2 linked regions of the Notamacropus eugenii genome follow. Each later gene encodes a partner of the first gene's protein in a complex. Links are inferred from orthologs where the notes say so. Each region holds a gene or a part of one and is shown on either strand. Other genes may lie near its edges.

What was found.
Region 2: GTF2A1 (region 1) and POLR2J share a complex: the UniProt entries of both Homo sapiens proteins name them as parts of the TBP-based Pol II pre-initiation complex. The link is inferred for Notamacropus eugenii from reciprocal best matches to the Homo sapiens genes GTF2A1 and POLR2J.

What each region holds. Positions count from the first base shown.
Region 1 is NC_092878.1:65,973,637-65,982,254, forward strand, and holds the start of GTF2A1 (transcription initiation factor IIA subunit 1), read right to left. Parts: upstream 3,596-8,618; 5' UTR 3,142-3,595; coding exon 3,112-3,141; intron 2,471-3,111; exon of another isoform or gene 2,227-2,470; intron 1,953-2,226; exon of another isoform or gene 1,834-1,952; intron 1-1,833. UniProt on the Homo sapiens protein: TFIIA is a component of the transcription machinery of RNA polymerase II and plays an important role in transcriptional activation. TFIIA in a complex with TBP mediates transcriptional activity.
Region 2 is NC_092873.1:51,624,030-51,631,550, forward strand, and holds the start of POLR2J (DNA-directed RNA polymerase II subunit RPB11-a), read left to right. Parts: upstream 1-3,991; 5' UTR 3,992-4,145; coding exon 4,146-4,198; intron 4,199-4,668; coding exon 4,669-4,758; intron 4,759-7,521. Other genes in the region: ras GTPase-activating protein 4-like, read left to right, coding at 174-294, 1,654-1,718, 2,282-2,730. UniProt on the Homo sapiens protein: Core component of RNA polymerase II (Pol II), a DNA-dependent RNA polymerase which synthesizes mRNA precursors and many functional non-coding RNAs using the four ribonucleoside triphosphates as substrates.

The sequences.
Region 1 (8,618 bases):
TTCTGATTATAAATAAGTTAATAAGAAAATTTTAGCTTACAGACCTAGGCATTTATAGACACCTTGGAAACAACTTTAAATTTTAAAGTACTACAGTACAAAATTTCTTCAGTACTATCATAAGCTTTGTTCTGATACATACTATTCAATGAACCTATTCGGGGGGGGAGGGGGGGGGCCCACACACCTCTGTCCTGCTCTCTGATTTAATTGTATCTTATGCTACCTATATGACTTAGTACCTTACACTTACAAATGCCATAAAATAATTGTATTTTCATAAAGCATATGCATATGAAATAATTTGGCTGCCTTAGTTCATATGCCAAAGAGGTTTTTAAAATATCAGTGTTCAGGTACTCCAGAGATCATTTAGAATAACAATCATTTCTAAAGACATTTTCTAGTCAATTTGAATGAAAGCAACAAAACACACGGCTTCAGGCAACCATAGATATATCCTAATTTAGGAAAACAGGATATTTAAAACCAAACTGTACAACTGGATAAATTATAGGGGGAACATTTCCATTACCAAATAATTTACTACAGGAGGGAGGCAGCTGTACTGGACCTTAGAGACTATGTGGTCCAACTATCTTTTTTAAGTGATGAAGACAGGGCTTAGTTGTAGTTATACTAAGTAGCAAAGATGTGATTTGAAAAAACATCATCTTGTCTCCAAATCCAGTTCCCAAGCCCGGAATCCATCCAACTCCTGTTAGTAATGCAACGTTGAACTTCAGTTACCTCATCAATAAAACAGTATAAATATTTATACTTCCTGACAGAACTGTCATAAGGATCAAATGAAATAATACATGTAGCCATGTAATCATCAACTATTATTACAGAGCTCCTCTTAATCAGTTCCCCTAATAGGAATAATTGGTTCTACTTGACAAAAATTCTATATACACAGTTGTTGGTACACTCATCTATTACATATAGCAACAAATACCTATGTGGTCCATGTACATCTAAGGGTAGTGGTGATGACAGGTTCTGTAATTCCATATCTACACACTTAGTACCCTATATACAAACACAATGCAAAAAAAAATAGAAATTGCTTGTGTAACAAGGATAATGTTAATATCTATCAATTCAGCATTCTGTTAGCCTGCTACCTTTTTTTTTTAAATACAGTGTTTGCACTCCAAAGCACCTCTTCATTCACAATGAAAATACTATTTTCCCTGAAGAAAAAGCATGGAAGGGAAATTACATTTAACATTTACTATAGTATTCCACATTTCACAAGTATGATTTTGACGTTTTTACAATTTTAAAATTTTCAATAAACAGGTTTTTCTAAATATGTTTTGAAGTCATCTGTAAGCAAAAAATGCTTGGAAAAAAAAACCTCAACCCTGGACAGCTTGTCCTATATTTTCCGTATAAGTTACAACAAATGTGGCTTATTTTCCACTTCCAAATACTTTGGAAAAACTTGGGGTACTAGGAAGGAAGGCCTCATTTTTTTTCCTTCTTGAAAAAAATACCCCAAAGCCGTCCAGAGAAGACCACAGCCTCCTCGTTCAAAAAGCAGCCAGAGCAAGTGCCTGCAGCAGGAGCCGGCGTCGACGAGCAAGGCAGAGCTGGACCCCAGAGCTGCACAACTCAAGTGCCAGAAGAGGCCACCCAGAACCAAGCAGGCGAGCACGAATCCTCCCTCACGCGGAGCATGCACCTCCCAGCCTCGCGCTCCGCAGCTCTCACTATTTAAAGCCTGATCTGGGGTTTAAATGGAGAGCCGGTGACGTAGGGCTGAAAAGCACCTTCCCATCCTGGCAGAGTCTATATTAGAGAGCGCAATGGCTCTATATAAACAGGGCAGCCAAAGGGAGGAGGACCACAAGGAGCAGGGACTCAAAAGCAGGGGAAGCTGCAGCAGCCATGATGGATCGATCTCTCTCTGAGAGTGGCAAACAAGGGGCCGAGTCTCCACGGTACGGTCCTGGGCACAGAGGGTTTGCTGGCCGCATTTGGGGAGGGGGATGGCATTTTTTATTGTTATTAGTCTTATAATAAAGGAGAGTCGGGTGGATCGAGGATCACATGGCACTGGTGACTGCAAAGGTTATTTATGTGACTGCTTTTTGCAAACCTATGTGACTGCAAGTAACAAAAAAAATAAAAGGACCCGGGGACGGGTGGGGGAGACGAGGCGGCATTTCAGGCGGAGGGGTGCCTTGGTCAATGTCATTTTTTTCCTCTTGCTAGTCGAAGGTATGACGGGATTTTGTTTCCCCTTCGCCATTTTAACGATTCTAAAGGAGATGGGACAAGTGCTTTTCAACCTTCTTTTTCCAACGTAAAATGGCCCCATCCAGCTCCAAAGAAATCAACCACCACAAAACTCAAGGGTCGCCTCACACTTCGCGCTAGTCCAAGGCATCCTCGTTAAAAAAAAAAAGGAAAGAAAAAAGAAAAAAATAAAGAAAAGAAACCTCCCCCACCCCCAGCACACTGGATCGGGGCGGGGTCTGGAAGATTAATCTTCTTCCCGAGCCCCGGATTTCTCCCCCTCCATGGGGCCAGCGCGGGCTTCGGGGACTCCGTCTCCCCGTCCGAGACGCGGCCATAGCTGTCGGCTGCCCCGCAGGATCCAGCTCCTCTCTAAACTCCTCCCCCCCAAACAAAACCAACTCCGCTTCCACCGAGACCATCTTAGGGCGGTTTTCTGGGGGGAAGGGGGCGGAAGGAGAGGGTCTCTGCCCCGTCCCCTCCCCTTTCTCAAGTTTTCAGCCTCTTCTTTCGCCCGAGTGGAGACTAACCTGGGGAGAGCCCTCCTGACACCCTGAAAGCGCGGCTGAGAGCCCTCCGCTTGGACCCTCGTCTCCCCCGCTTCTCCCCCCTCCTCCTGCACCCCCCTCCATGAGCCCCCCGTTCTGGCCTCCACCCCACCCCCCTCCCCCCGCCCTCGGCCCAGGTCTCCCCTTCGGCGGGAAGAGGTGGCGGCGGCGGCGACAGCGAGAGGAGGCTGAGGGTGGGGGCGGGGAAGGGGGAAAAGAGTTGATCCCGGCTCCGGCTCCCGGGCCCGGGCCCCGGGCCCCCAGCCCGCGCCCGCCCCCGCCGCCGCCGCCGGTCACCGAGTCACATCCTTACCACGGGGTTTGTATTTGCCGAGTTCGCCATTTCCACACACAACACAACAACAAAAAAAATTTAAAAAAAGAAATAAAAACAAAAAGAAAAGAGACCCCGACTGTAACCAGATCACCGAGATTTAAAAAAAAAAAAAAAAGAAAAACGAAACCGAGTCCCGAAGGTGGAGTAGGGGGAAGGGGGGGGCGGTGAGGGGGGGAGGGAGTCCTCCGGGAGCTGAGATCCTCGAGAATCGCCCTTAAAAAAATTGTGACCCTTCGGGGGTCCCGGGGAGCGTTCCCCGCCCCCCGCCCGGGGCAAAGGAGCGAAACCGCCACCGGTCGCCGCCCCCCGCGCTGCCGCTACCGCCGCCGCCGCACGGGCTGCAGCCACCAGCCGTCTTCTCCGCCCGCTTCTCTCCTTTATATAGTGAGCCAACGAGCTGCGCGAGCCACCACCGTCGAGAGACAGGGGCAGGAGGAAGGGGAGGGGAGGGAAGGGGGAGGAGGGAAGGAGCGGAGTGGGAGGGGAAGGAGGAGTAAGGAGGGGGGGGTAGGCGGCGCGAGACAACGCGAGAGCGGCCGGGCGCACGCACGCGTGGGGGCGCGCGAGACTGCCAAAGGGACTCTCACGGTGCGAAGGTGAGGCCCTCCCCGCCAGGCTGCGGAGCTGGGAAATGGACCGACTTACTCCCGCCCCCCCCACTCCCAATCGCCTCTCGTGCCGGGGTCACGTGGTTTTGCCTCCGCCGTGACCCAGGCGGAAGTTTCTTTTCGTGTCTCTGACTTTGGAAAGATAAGAGTTAAAAAAAAACCAAAAAAACCCGATTAAACCGGCCGAAGGGAAAGGCGGGAGCTTCAATCGAGCAGCTCGCGAGTCTCGGACCGGCCGCCCGTTCTTCCCTCCCCAGGGGCGCGCCCTCTCAGCTCGGCGGAATTTCAGAAGTGGCGCTCACTTCAAGCCCGGTTAGCTCCGGCCTTGGGGTAGGCCGGGGATGAACGGGTCACGTGACTCTCCTGTCCCAGCGAGCCGGGCGCTGGCTTAAGTTTCGATCTGCGGAGTCATCACTCCCCGAGCCGAGGGACACCTGGGACGAGCTCCTCCTGCCGCTTCTCGGCCGCAGCCGCCGGGTCGCGCTGCTCGGGAAGCCAGCCCTCCGGCGTTCGCGCCTGAAAGCCTCTGCCGCCCGCGGCTCCGGCGAAGGGAACGGGGTGCGGGGTTCTGTGCGCTTATGCACGCGTCATTTTTAAATGGGGGGAGGGGCCTCTTGGTGGGCACGTGCGTGCTTGTCCCGACTCGGTTATCCGACGCTGCCGAAGTCCTGTTGTAGAAACGGTAGATTGACACTTGGTATCCGCCTTGACCGACTGGAGTATTTCCAGGATTTACACCCCAAATCATTTCAGTTCGTGAGCAACCCCGACTCCTTCCCCAGCCGCAGTTCGAGAACTGCTCAACATGGCAGGACTGGGTCGCCCCAAGTGCGCCTCCCTGGAGCCCTCTCCCCACGTGTCTCCTCTTATTGTAAGGGGGGTCTTTGCCGGGTTGTTCTGTAATTCGTCCAGGTCGCACCGTGCGTGGCGCACAGCGAGTGCTTCTAAGATGCTTTGGCATTCAGAGCTCTCCACCACCCCCCTTTCCACCCCCCAAGAAGTACCCCAAACACTGCGATTCAGGGGCACGGGCGCTGCGGCGCCCTCAAACAATGCGCTCCATCTCCCGGGAGTGGAACGTTGGCCGGAATTCAGCCCCTCGCCATTCTTGCCTTATACAACAAGTCTCTCCCTGATGCCCCTTCATCACGCAGCTTGTTTGTGCGAGGCTGGCCGGGATCTGGACAGCAGGGGGTCTTCTCTCTGTCCTCGCATTCCTGCGCTTAGCTGGCCCACAGCAGGCACTTCATGCGTGTGTGTTGTCATCGCGTACTGCCTCCTGCACCGGCGTTCTTACCAGGTTGCGGTTTAAATCCTCTACAGCTGTACGCTATTTACCTTTATTTAAGACAGCAGTGACGTTAAGTAAAAATCCTAGATTCTCCGAAGACAGAAACAGTGGCGAGGGTAGAAGCACAACAGCCTGACTCTTCCCTTGTACCCCAAACTGAGAAGTCACAGCCCCCATGGATCCAGAATGGAAATCACCAGAAAGCCAGCAAACTCAAATTTTTCTTCATAATTCTATGCAATGATACCATATTATTAATCATCATTATGTGTGCCTATGAATCATACAGTTAGCATATCTAAGGAATTGGGGGAAGGATCCTATTTGGCACTGGGCAAGGCTGAAATGACATTTTTGTAGAAATGATACCAAGTTCAAATGAATCAGCAAGAGCAGTCTTAAAAGGAAAAAAATCACGAAATGTGGGCTCTGAAGGGGAAAACACAGAAAGAAAGAGGAGAAATGAAGGTTATGAACTTAAGGTTTTGTACTAGACTCAGGTTACCAAGCCACTTCACTCTTATCACTCTCCAGATGCCTCCCCTGAGTCACTACCTACCTCACTCATCACAAGGCTGCACCACGTAGAAGCAGAACTCCCTAAAAGGAGGAGTCCTATCTGTCATCTAGGAATAGTTGAGCGTGTTTTATTGTGTTCTGATCTCAGCTAATCAGGGTAGCAAATTATCCAGAACAACATTTTTATCCACTTCATGACCATAGCACTCAGAAGTGGAAGGAACCTTAAGAGATCTGGTGCAATGAGGTGAGGAAAATGAAACCATGAAGAGGTTAAGTGACTTTCCCAGGGTCACAAAGTAATAAAAAGAGCTAGGATTGGGATCCAAGTTCATTGCTTTCCACAACACACCACAGATTCAGAGTGTATAACAAGTTTAAAGATCATTTGGTAGACAATACATCTAGGATTCTTATCCCAGTGAGGTTAAATCAGTTTTAGGTGTTGGGTTAGTCAGGAAGACCTGAGTGTGAATCCTGTCTCAAATTCTTACTTTGTGGTTGAGTTGTCTTACTCTTCATGATCCCATTTGAGGTTTTCTTGGCAAAGATATTGGAGTGGTTTTCCATTTACTTCTCTAGCTCATTTTACAAATGAGGAACTGAGGCAAACAGAGTTAAATGACTTGCCCAGGGTCACACAGGTAGTAGGTGGCTGAGGCCAGATTTGAACTCAAGAAGATGAATCTTCCTGATTCCCAGCCCAGCCACTGTGCTATCTAGCTGTCCCTCAGACATTCACTAGCTGTGTGTAAAGTCACTGAATCTCTCCGGTCTCATTTCCTTATTTGCAAAATGAGGGGTTTGGACTCAACGAACTCTGAGGTCCCTTCCAGCTCTAAATCTGTGATCTTAAGGGCCATTGCCCTTATCATTGTCTTGACTTTTGTCTTGTCACTGGACTCCAATGACTTTGAAGGAGAAAGCAAGGCTAAGGACTACAGCCCTGCCTCAAATACAGTCCATGAGTAAGTCAAGACATCACCTTCATGGTGTCATTGGTTCTCTTAAAGAAGGAAGAATCAACAACAATTTCAACAATTCTGTGACCTTAAGATAACTGGGGAGGTTGGGAGAGTAGGACAAAGAAAGATAAGCAACTTGAGGAGGAGACTAAAAATTCAACAGGTACAGGGATACCTGAGGACAGATCCCCGTATTTGTATATGGTACTTTAAAACATTGTTAAAATTATTTGTCGATACTTGAGTTATCTGGAGAAGAGGTACTATAAAACCTAATAAGTAAATAGGTACAACCAAATTTCCTTCAACTGAATTGAAATGACAGTGCAATTCCTTTCTATTGAATGAAATTTAAATATACTCCTCAATCACTTCTGCAAGCATTTATAGAAGGCCTAGTAGTATATATTCAGCACTGTATTAAGAGGACCTTAAATTGACTACATATTTGAACGTTTTAAGGTTTAAGGTTTTAATCGTGTTCATCCTTCATCGCCAAAGAAGACCATGCCATCAGAGAAATGATAACATGACTTACACTTGACTTTGTTTTCAGTGAGGGAGGGCTGTGCAGGTCACCAGCCTCACTTCTCCTCCAGAGCCATCTGAATCCAGTGACCAGATATTCATCAGGATGACTGGAGATGACCCAGGATGCACTGGGAGACCTTGGGCCCTTTAGGCCAAGGTCTTTGCAGGTATTCACTTAGGGTGAGGCAATACCCATTCATTGAATAGACCTGTTTAAGAAATAGTTAGGGCATGGCCCCTTTGGATAGCCAAAAGATATCCAGTTAACTTATTTTACTAGCCCCTTCCCCTCCCTTCCCTTCCCTTCCCTTCCCTTCACTTCCTCCTATTCTGTCCTGTCCTATTCTGTCCTGTCCTTTCCCGAAACATTAAGCCTATTGTACTCTGAAACCGGGGTGCCTGAAATCTAGATCACCCCATTTGATTCTGATGCCTTGACTAGGTGCAAATACTTTTTTACTGTCAGTACTTCTACTCCCACTACTACTACTACTACTACTACTACTACTACTACTACTACTACTACTACTCCCACTACTATTACTACTACTACTACTACTACTACTACTCCCACTACTACTACTACTACTACTACTACTACTACTACTTTTCTTCCTTCACGTAATAATGATAATAATAGCAATTAACTTTCTATAACACTTTAAAGGTTCACAAAGCACTTTTCAAATATCTCATTTTATCCTCATAGCAACCCTGAGAGATACTAGTATTATACAGTAGAACCTCATTTTACGAATTTAATTCATTCTGAGATTCTGTTCATCATGTGATTTGTTCATATTGCAAAGCAAATTTTCCCATAGGCAATAATGTTAAAGTTGGATGATCACATCCCCAAAAATATTCATATAAAATAATTATTTATAATTTTAAGTAAGTTTTTTGTCCCTAATGTGCCTGAAATACAATAGCAATGATTAGTAAACAATATAAACTGAAAATAAAATAAATTAACCGGCACTTTACCTTTGAGAAGAGTTGTGACTGGGGTGAGGGAGACAAGAGGGAGGAGAAGGAGGAGGAAGGATTATTGCTTGGAAAGAGAATCTCCTATGAGAACATGGAGGATTTCAACATTGGGAGGGTTCTCTTTTATGCTACTGTCACTAAACATAAGACTAACACTACTGCCTTCACTTATTTTTTGTTTTTTAGAATCACTTTCATGTTTTGACTCACTTTTTTTCTTTACATTTGCTTCTCACTAGCAATCTATCTAATGATACTTGTTTTTGATGTTTTTTCAGAATATCACAGAAATGTGACATTGCATTATTGTTAAAAATATTCGTAGCTCTCATTGTTACAGCCTTGTTTGGGTGTTGTTTTTCAACAAAATTTTGCACTTTTGCAAAAAAAACCCAAAAAACAAAAAACCCACTGCCCTAGTTGAGCGTCATCCCTTCACAAGCCATTGAAGTCCAAACATGATGTTCATACTGCGAATTTTTGTTTGTCCTGCAAGACAAATTTTGTGAAAAATTTTTCCTTGTCCAGCAAAGCATATGTAAACCAGGTTACTCTTAAACTAAGATTCTCCTGTATACC
Region 2 (7,521 bases), on another chromosome or scaffold:
GCCACATCTATTGGTTTCTACTCCCTAGACCTTGTCTTTATCCCACCCACTGGCCCACCCTGGACAAACCCTCCCTGCCCCCATTAGTACCTGCAGTGCTAAACTTTGCTCTTCCGGTCTCCCCTCTCCCCGTTCCCTCCCATCGGGGACACCTTGTCTCTTCTGTCTCACAGGTCTGGGCTGTGACAAAACCCGAAACCGGGTGACCCTGCAAGAGTGGAATGACCCCCTGGACCCAGACCTGGAAGCGCAGCTCATCTATAGACACTTGTTGGGTGTCCAAGACACAATCCGGTGAGAAGGACATCTGTGATCTCCCTCCCTAGTCTTGTCCAGGAGGGTGTTGCCAGAGGAGGGTACCCTCCCAGAGTAGGGCACCTCCCCAGCAGCACGTCTCCTGACCACCTCTCCCTTTTCCTAGACCTGGTAGGCAGAGGGAACCCAAACTCTTGACTTCTTTGCCTTCCTGAGCCTCTTGTTTCTTTTCTGACCCAATTTAATTGATTTAACCAATATTCATGAAGTGTTTCCAATGAGCAAAGTCCTCTATTAGGTGCTGGGTCTTAGGGGACCCTTGGGTGAGATATTGGGAGGTGAGGGGATGAAGAAGGGAGAGGAGCAACTCAGAGCAAGTACCTAAGAAGCTTTGACCAGATGGCTCGGAAGGTCCTCCAGTTATCTGTGCCTCATTATGGCCATCCAAGGACAATGATTAGAAGTAAGGCCACCAGGATAGCTGTGCTAGACTGCTAGGCTTGAAAACAGGAAGAACCCGGTTCACATCTTTGCTTGATGTGTGACTATGAGGGAGTCTCTTAGCCTCTCTGGGCCTCAGTTTCCCCTCCTATAAAATGAAGATGTTGATCTTGGTAGCCTGGGAGATCTCTTCAGGTTCTGAATCTGTGGTCTGGTGCCCTCGGTTCTTGATACGATGACTGCGACTTATCTTTTCATGAAGAGAAGTGGCACAAGAGATGTGTTCCTCAGTTTCCTCACCTGTTGGATCCTCCTAGAGCTGAAATTTTAGATTCTAATTCTGTCATTCAGGGCTTTTCCCTTCCCTGGGAAAGTGATAGAAGTTGATGTTTCAGAGGGTCTGGGTCCTCATTCTTCCTTCAAAGTTTAGAAGAAATGATGGGTTTAAACAGGCTTCTTCATGAGAGCAGGGCAGGAGGTTCAGGATCCTATTCTCTCTCCCAGGTCAAGCTGTGAATCAGGACTCATGGGGGAAAGAATTGGATGCTTGGTAGGGTAAGATCAAACCGAGGTGGAAATGGTTTAACACCAAAGAGAGCATGGAGCTTGGCATAAGGTGCAGAGTGCTGGACCTGGGCATAAGGAGACCTGAGTCCAAATCCTACCTCTGACCCTTACTAGCTGTGAGACCCAGGGCAAAGTATGTAACCTTTCAGAGCCTTAGTTGCCTTATCTGTAAAATGGGGAAAATAGTATTACCTACCTCACAGGGTTCTGAGGATTTTTGTGGACTTAAAGTGTTAAATAAATGTTAGCTGCTCTTATCATTACTAATTTACTACTACTATTAATATGGATACTACTGAAGACACATATTAGGCAGTCATCCACAGATTCTCACAGGAGTAAGAGGGCAACCTTGGTCTAAAACTTGTCCCTTTTCCTTTCCCTCATCAGTGAAAAGTACCTGGAGCTGACTGCCCTGGGGGCTGCTGGGAATATCCCCAACATCCAAAGTGAAGGTAGGACCCTGACAGTCCCTCCCAAACCCCCCTCTTCTCATTCCAGAACAAGCTAACACAGTCCTTCCCAGGCCAAGGGAGGTAGTTTGATGAAGAATTCTGATTCTAGAGTCAGAGGACCTAGGTTCAGATCCCACTTGAGACATTTACCTAGGCCTCAGTTTCCTCATCTGTAAAATAATGGAATTGAACTAGATCTGAGGTCTCTTCTATGATTGTTTCTGTGGACAGATCACTTAAAGTTCCCTGGGCTTCTGTTATACCTTCTTTAAAATGGGGGGGGTGGGGTGGGGGTGGACAAACTGAACTCCCAGGTCCCTTCCAGCTCTGATCCTATGAAAGTCTGGCCCCATGGAAGGTCCTGAGGTCCTAGGACTCTGTGGTCCTTACCAGCCACTCTGGGGATGGTCTTTCCCCAGCACCTGAGGATGGTCCCACCCAGCTGTTCCAGGTACTCCGGGACCTAGAAGATGCCCACCGCTCTGGTCCTCTGACTACAGTAGACCAAGAGAAGAACTATCTCTTGGAGTTGCAGACGTGAGACTGAACTCTGCTTCCCTCAGGCCCAGGCCCTGCCTCGATGCCATCCATCCCACCCTCTGCCTCCTGCTGGGACTGTTTATTCCCAGGAACTCCCTGTCATGCTGGTGGCCTAGGAGCTCTGTGGTTTGGAGATCTGCCTGTGGCCTGGGTGAGCCCCTGGTCCCTGGCCCTGTCCTCACTTCTGCTCCAAAAATCAGCTTTTGGCTGCAAACCAACACCCCTTTCCCCATTTCCACGAGCACTTCAGGGGCCTGAGCCTTGTCCTGGGCTGCGCAGCAGCGCTGTTCCAACGTGTCAAGAGAGCAGCAGGAGGTTGAAAGCGCCCCTCGCTGGGGAGGGGAGCAGAGACATCCATGTGTTGGTTTCCTGGGATGGGTCACTGGGGCCCCAGGATCGGCAGTCCTGGGCCCTCCTTGTCCCCCATCCTTGGCTCGCTCTGGGTTACATCCTTGATTCTAACATTCCATGAGGTTCACAGTCAGGGAGCTGGGCGCTGGGGGAGACAAAGGGGTGCTGTGATGACTGATTTGGACTTGGTGGTTCTAAGGAGTCTCTGGAGTCTGTTCTTCCCTCTGCTGACCCCATGACCGGTGCCTCTGGTCTCCTAGCTGTTCTAGGGAGGAAGTGTGGAGAGCCATGGCCCCTGGGGAAGGCAGGTGGAGAAAGTAGAAGCTGTCACTTCTGCCCCCTTCCCCCCATCCCAGCATGAACACTGGGCCTCTGAGGCTCCTGGGGCTCCCTAGGGCCAGGACTCTGCATCCAGCTTCTTGATTCAGCCCCTGGGGTGGGAAGCCTCTGGCAGCGCCGCTTCCTCCTGTGCCAGCAGCCCCTCCCCTTCGCTGGGCATCACTGCAGATTACAATAAACTTTCCTTTACCCTTGTTGGGCTGGGGCTCTGGTCCTGTCTTTGGGGGGTGGGGAGGGGCACCGAGCATGTCTGGGGTCTGAGGGAAGGGGCACCTACTGTGTGCCAGGCACTTTCTACAAAGGTTATCTCACCTCACCCTCACAACAACCCTGGGAGGTAGTTGCCATTGTTATCATCCCCATTTTACAGACGAGGGAAACTGAGGCAAACAGGTTCCGTGACTGGCCCAGGGTCACACAGGGTCGGAAGCCTGACTTTCGTCCCGACTGCAGGCCCCGGGCACGCCCGCCCCGCCCCCCACCCCAGCGCTCCGCCCCTACCGCTGTGCGCCCCGCCCCGCCCCCACCGCTGCACGCCCCGCCCCCACCGCCTCTGGCAGTAGCCGGAGGCCTCCAGGGATTCCGAGGAGAGAGCACGCTGCGGGCGGCGCATCAGGGGAGTCTTCCTCCGGCTTGGGAGGGGCTCGCTCAGGCCCCTGGAGGCCCGCGTGGGGGAGGCTGCCACCTTGCGGAGGAAGCAGGGAAAGCAGGAGGAGGGGGCGCCGGAGGAGGAATGCTGGGACACCATCTAGCACTGGAAAGGCCGATTCCCACCCCTTAGTTTAACTGAGAAGGAAACTGAGGCACAGAGGGGGAGGGGATTTGCCCAAAATGAGGCAGCAGATCAGAGCCGGCGTCATCCGCTTCTACCAGCGTCCAAGACGGCGTCCGAGCCCGGGCGCTGGAGCCCCGTCGCCCCCTAGCGGGACGGGAAGAACACAACGCCGGACACGCACGCGCACACACGTCTACTAGTGTTGTCCCCTCCCCTCCCGTTGGCCGAGCGGCGCATGCGGCCATCTTCCTCTCCCCCCTCTGGCTCCGCCCCTTCCTTTTCTGTTCCCTCTAGCGGCGGAGTGCGTTACTTCCTGTTCCGCCGCGGTCGCGCATGCGTGAGCTCCATTCGGAGCCAGGCGTGCTCCGGAAGCGGAAGCTGGGTAGGCTGGGGAGTCCCCGAGCTAGCGGCGGCGGCAGAGAATGAACGCGCCTCCGGCCTTCGAGTCCTTCCTCCTCTTTGAGGGAGAGAAGAAGTGAGCGCGGCCGCGGGGCGGGAGGGCCGAGCGGGGCTGCCGCGGCACCCTCGGTAGGAGGGGCCTCAGCCTCCTCCGTGTGATGGGGGTAGACCTTTCCCCGGGCCTCAGTTTCCCCGCCTGTTCCCCCTCTCAGAACACGACGGCCCCTTTTTGGGAAGACGTCACGTGTGGTAGCGCCCCCATTGTACAGAGGAGGAAACTGAGGCCGGCAAGTGTCGGAGGCGGGAGCCGACCCCGGCTTTGTGCCAACTAGTGACCTAGGAAGCAGCAGGGGACGCTCGTCCTGGGGGGGGGGGGGGGGGGCCTGAGAAAGCGCCACAAAAACGCGACAAGGCGCTGTTTGGGCAAAGAACGGGCCGAGCTTCGGTCCTGGGTCCGCAGCGAACGCCTCCCCACGTGTGCCCCTCCAGAGCCGGGCGGGATCGGGTGGGCAGCCCGCGCCCTCACCGTGCCCCCTTCCTCCCCAGGATCACTATCAACAAGGACACCAAAGTGCCCAATGCCTGTTTGTTCACCATCAACAAGGAGGACCACACGCTGGGGAACATCATCAAGTCGTAAGTGCGGCGGGAGGGGGCGGTGCCCAGGCTCCCCCGGGCAGGAGGAGGTGCCAGGTCTACCCAGGTGACCCAGGCCTTGGGCTGGCGCCGCCATCCTCCTTTCCTGAACACTTCTGGATCTTAGGGTCGTGTGCCAGGGAAGAGCGGAGCCCTCTTCATGCTGAACCCCTGAATTCCCAGTTCAGAACTTCTCTCCTTATTCCAGAATTCTGCTTGCTCACTCAGTAAACCCAGACAAGTTCTCCAAACCCGGTCCTGCAGCTTCCGAAGCAGAGATTACACGGCCCTGGAGCGTTTTCTGCTTTGTTTAATTTATTCACATAAAACAAAAACGTTTCACTCGTCTGGTAAGAATTCGTCTTCTCAGCTGTACTCAGAAGCAGAGCATCTTTGCTGCTCATCTCCCTGCCCGCCTTTAGGTCCCTTCTGTCCTCTGCACTTAGACCAGGGAACTCTGGGGAAAGGGGGAAAGGTGAAGCTAAACCTCCTTTCATCCGTTGTAAGCGTTAACCTTGAATTGCTCAGTACGAAAAGGGAGGAGTTTAGGAGACTTCAGTTAGGTTGGGAGAGCGTTACCTGGCACCCAGACTAGCATAAGTCAGTCTTATACTTAGTGTTAACTTGGGCTGCCAGATTGATCTTCCCCAGATATTGTTTATTCCGTTTCCCTGCTCAGACACCTTCAGTAGCTCCCTGGTTCCTATTGAATAAAACTCCTAGGTGGCATTGGAGGCCCTTTTGTTTTTCGGTGGTTTTGTCAGTTGTGTCCAACTCTTTGTGAGTGTTTGGGGTTTTCTTGGTAAAAGTACTGACTGCAGTGGCTTGCCATTTCATTCTCCACCTCATTTGATAGAAGAGAAAACTGAGGCAAATATGGTTAAGTGACTCGCCCAGAGTCACTCAATAAGTGTCAGACACCAAATTTGGACCCAGGAAGATGAGTCTTTTGGTCCAGGGCTCTGCCCACTGTGCCACCTAGCCACCAGGTCTGATCCGTAGGCTACATTTAAAATAATTTCTTGTTGACAGCTTTTGTTTGTATGTAACCTCTATTTCTCTCAGACTAAAGTAACATATCAAAAAAGTCTGGCCTTTTATGCAACATTCTGCATCTATGGTCTCCCTCCTCTGCAAAGAAATGGATTTTTGGGAGGGGCCAAGCTTGGTTATTACAGTATTACAGCATTAGTTTTCTCTTATTTTGTTCTTTCTCTACACAGTGTTGTAATCGTGTATTCTGTTTGCCTGGTTCTGCTGGCTTCACTTTGCATCAGTCCATTTGGATCTTCCCATACTTCTTATTTTCATCATGTTACTGTCTTATAGCAGAAGCACTAATTCACTTCTCTTTATGAATCAGTTTATTTAGCCATTTCCCCATCAATAGGTCTCTCTCTTGTTTCTCGTTCACTAGTGCACCTTAGCTGCCCTTTTAGGCTTATTTCCCTCCTCATCATGTTGAAACCCTTTGCAGCAGTCAGGCCAATTTCCTCAAGATCCCCTCTCGGTGTTGTGTGTATTCACCTGCCTCTGACTTTGCCTCATTCAGCTTGCCTGGTATGTCTTCCCACCCCTCCTCCACATCCTCTCTGTGTCCTCTTAGATCCGATACTTGTAGATCTTTCCTGGGCACCGACAGGGAATATTAAATGCCTTTCTATTCCCCACAGCATTGCCACATCCTATGCCTTGCACACAGTTGGTAACTCACTTAAATTTTACACTAAGTCATATTGCTTACTGGCCAAGTACATGACTATCATTCCACTTTGGTCATATTCAGAAGTTTAAAATCAAGAAATATTTGTTAAGGTCTTTATATAGAGTATTGTGGTAGATAGCCGGAGAGTTAGAAGGATTCGTTAAAAAACATATCCTGCTCTTGTGAAGACTGTGGAGAGTCTAGCAGTGTCTCAGATGCCCAGATCACTTTAATGCTGTAGAATACATAAATCCTTTAGAAAGCTGCAGACCAGCGCTGTCAGGTCTGACTCACATCATCACAGCATGAGGAGGTCAGAGAGTCTAGGGGAGGCGGTATTTGGATTGGGCTTTAGAGGAGGAAGAGGAATTCATCTGGCAAAGAAGGAGATGGAAGAGAAAGTACTCCAGGTTTTGGGGACCCAGGCAGGAAGGGAGATGTGTTCTGGGAGCCAAGTGGGGCTGAGAGGAGTGAGATAAGGGTCAGGACTCTTGGAATGGCATGAAGGCGGGGTCTGCAAGTTTGAGCTTGGCTCTCAGTGAACAGACAGGAAGGGGATGAGTGTTTCTTGGCTACTGCATTCTGAGCTGTGTTGCCTTCCTCCACTTTGTCAGTGAATTCATTTTTTCCTCCATGAAATATCCAAGAGGCAGCAGTATAATGTAGTGGACAGAGAGCTGGCTTCGACACCAGGAAGATCTGGATTCAAGTCCCACCTTTGACTCTGAGCTAGTCGGTGGCAGAGATGGGGCTGGCTTGTGTTGGCGAAGGGAATTTGCTCACCTGGGAGTTCTCTAAAAGCCCAGCCGCAAAGTGCTACTGTGGGGGAAAACATGTTTGTTGTGGGTAAAGAGCCTGGCCTCCTGAAGACTGGGAAAGGTCTTTTTTGCTGACAAAAAACTCACTTCATTATTTAAGGCTGTACCACAAACACTGTGCCTTGTCACCCTATAAAACATCTGCTCCCCAAACTGTTCTGGGGGTTTTTTAACCTACAGTGGGCCTTAAAGTTTTCTTCCTATGAAGGGGATGGTGAACTGACAGCTACACCAATATGC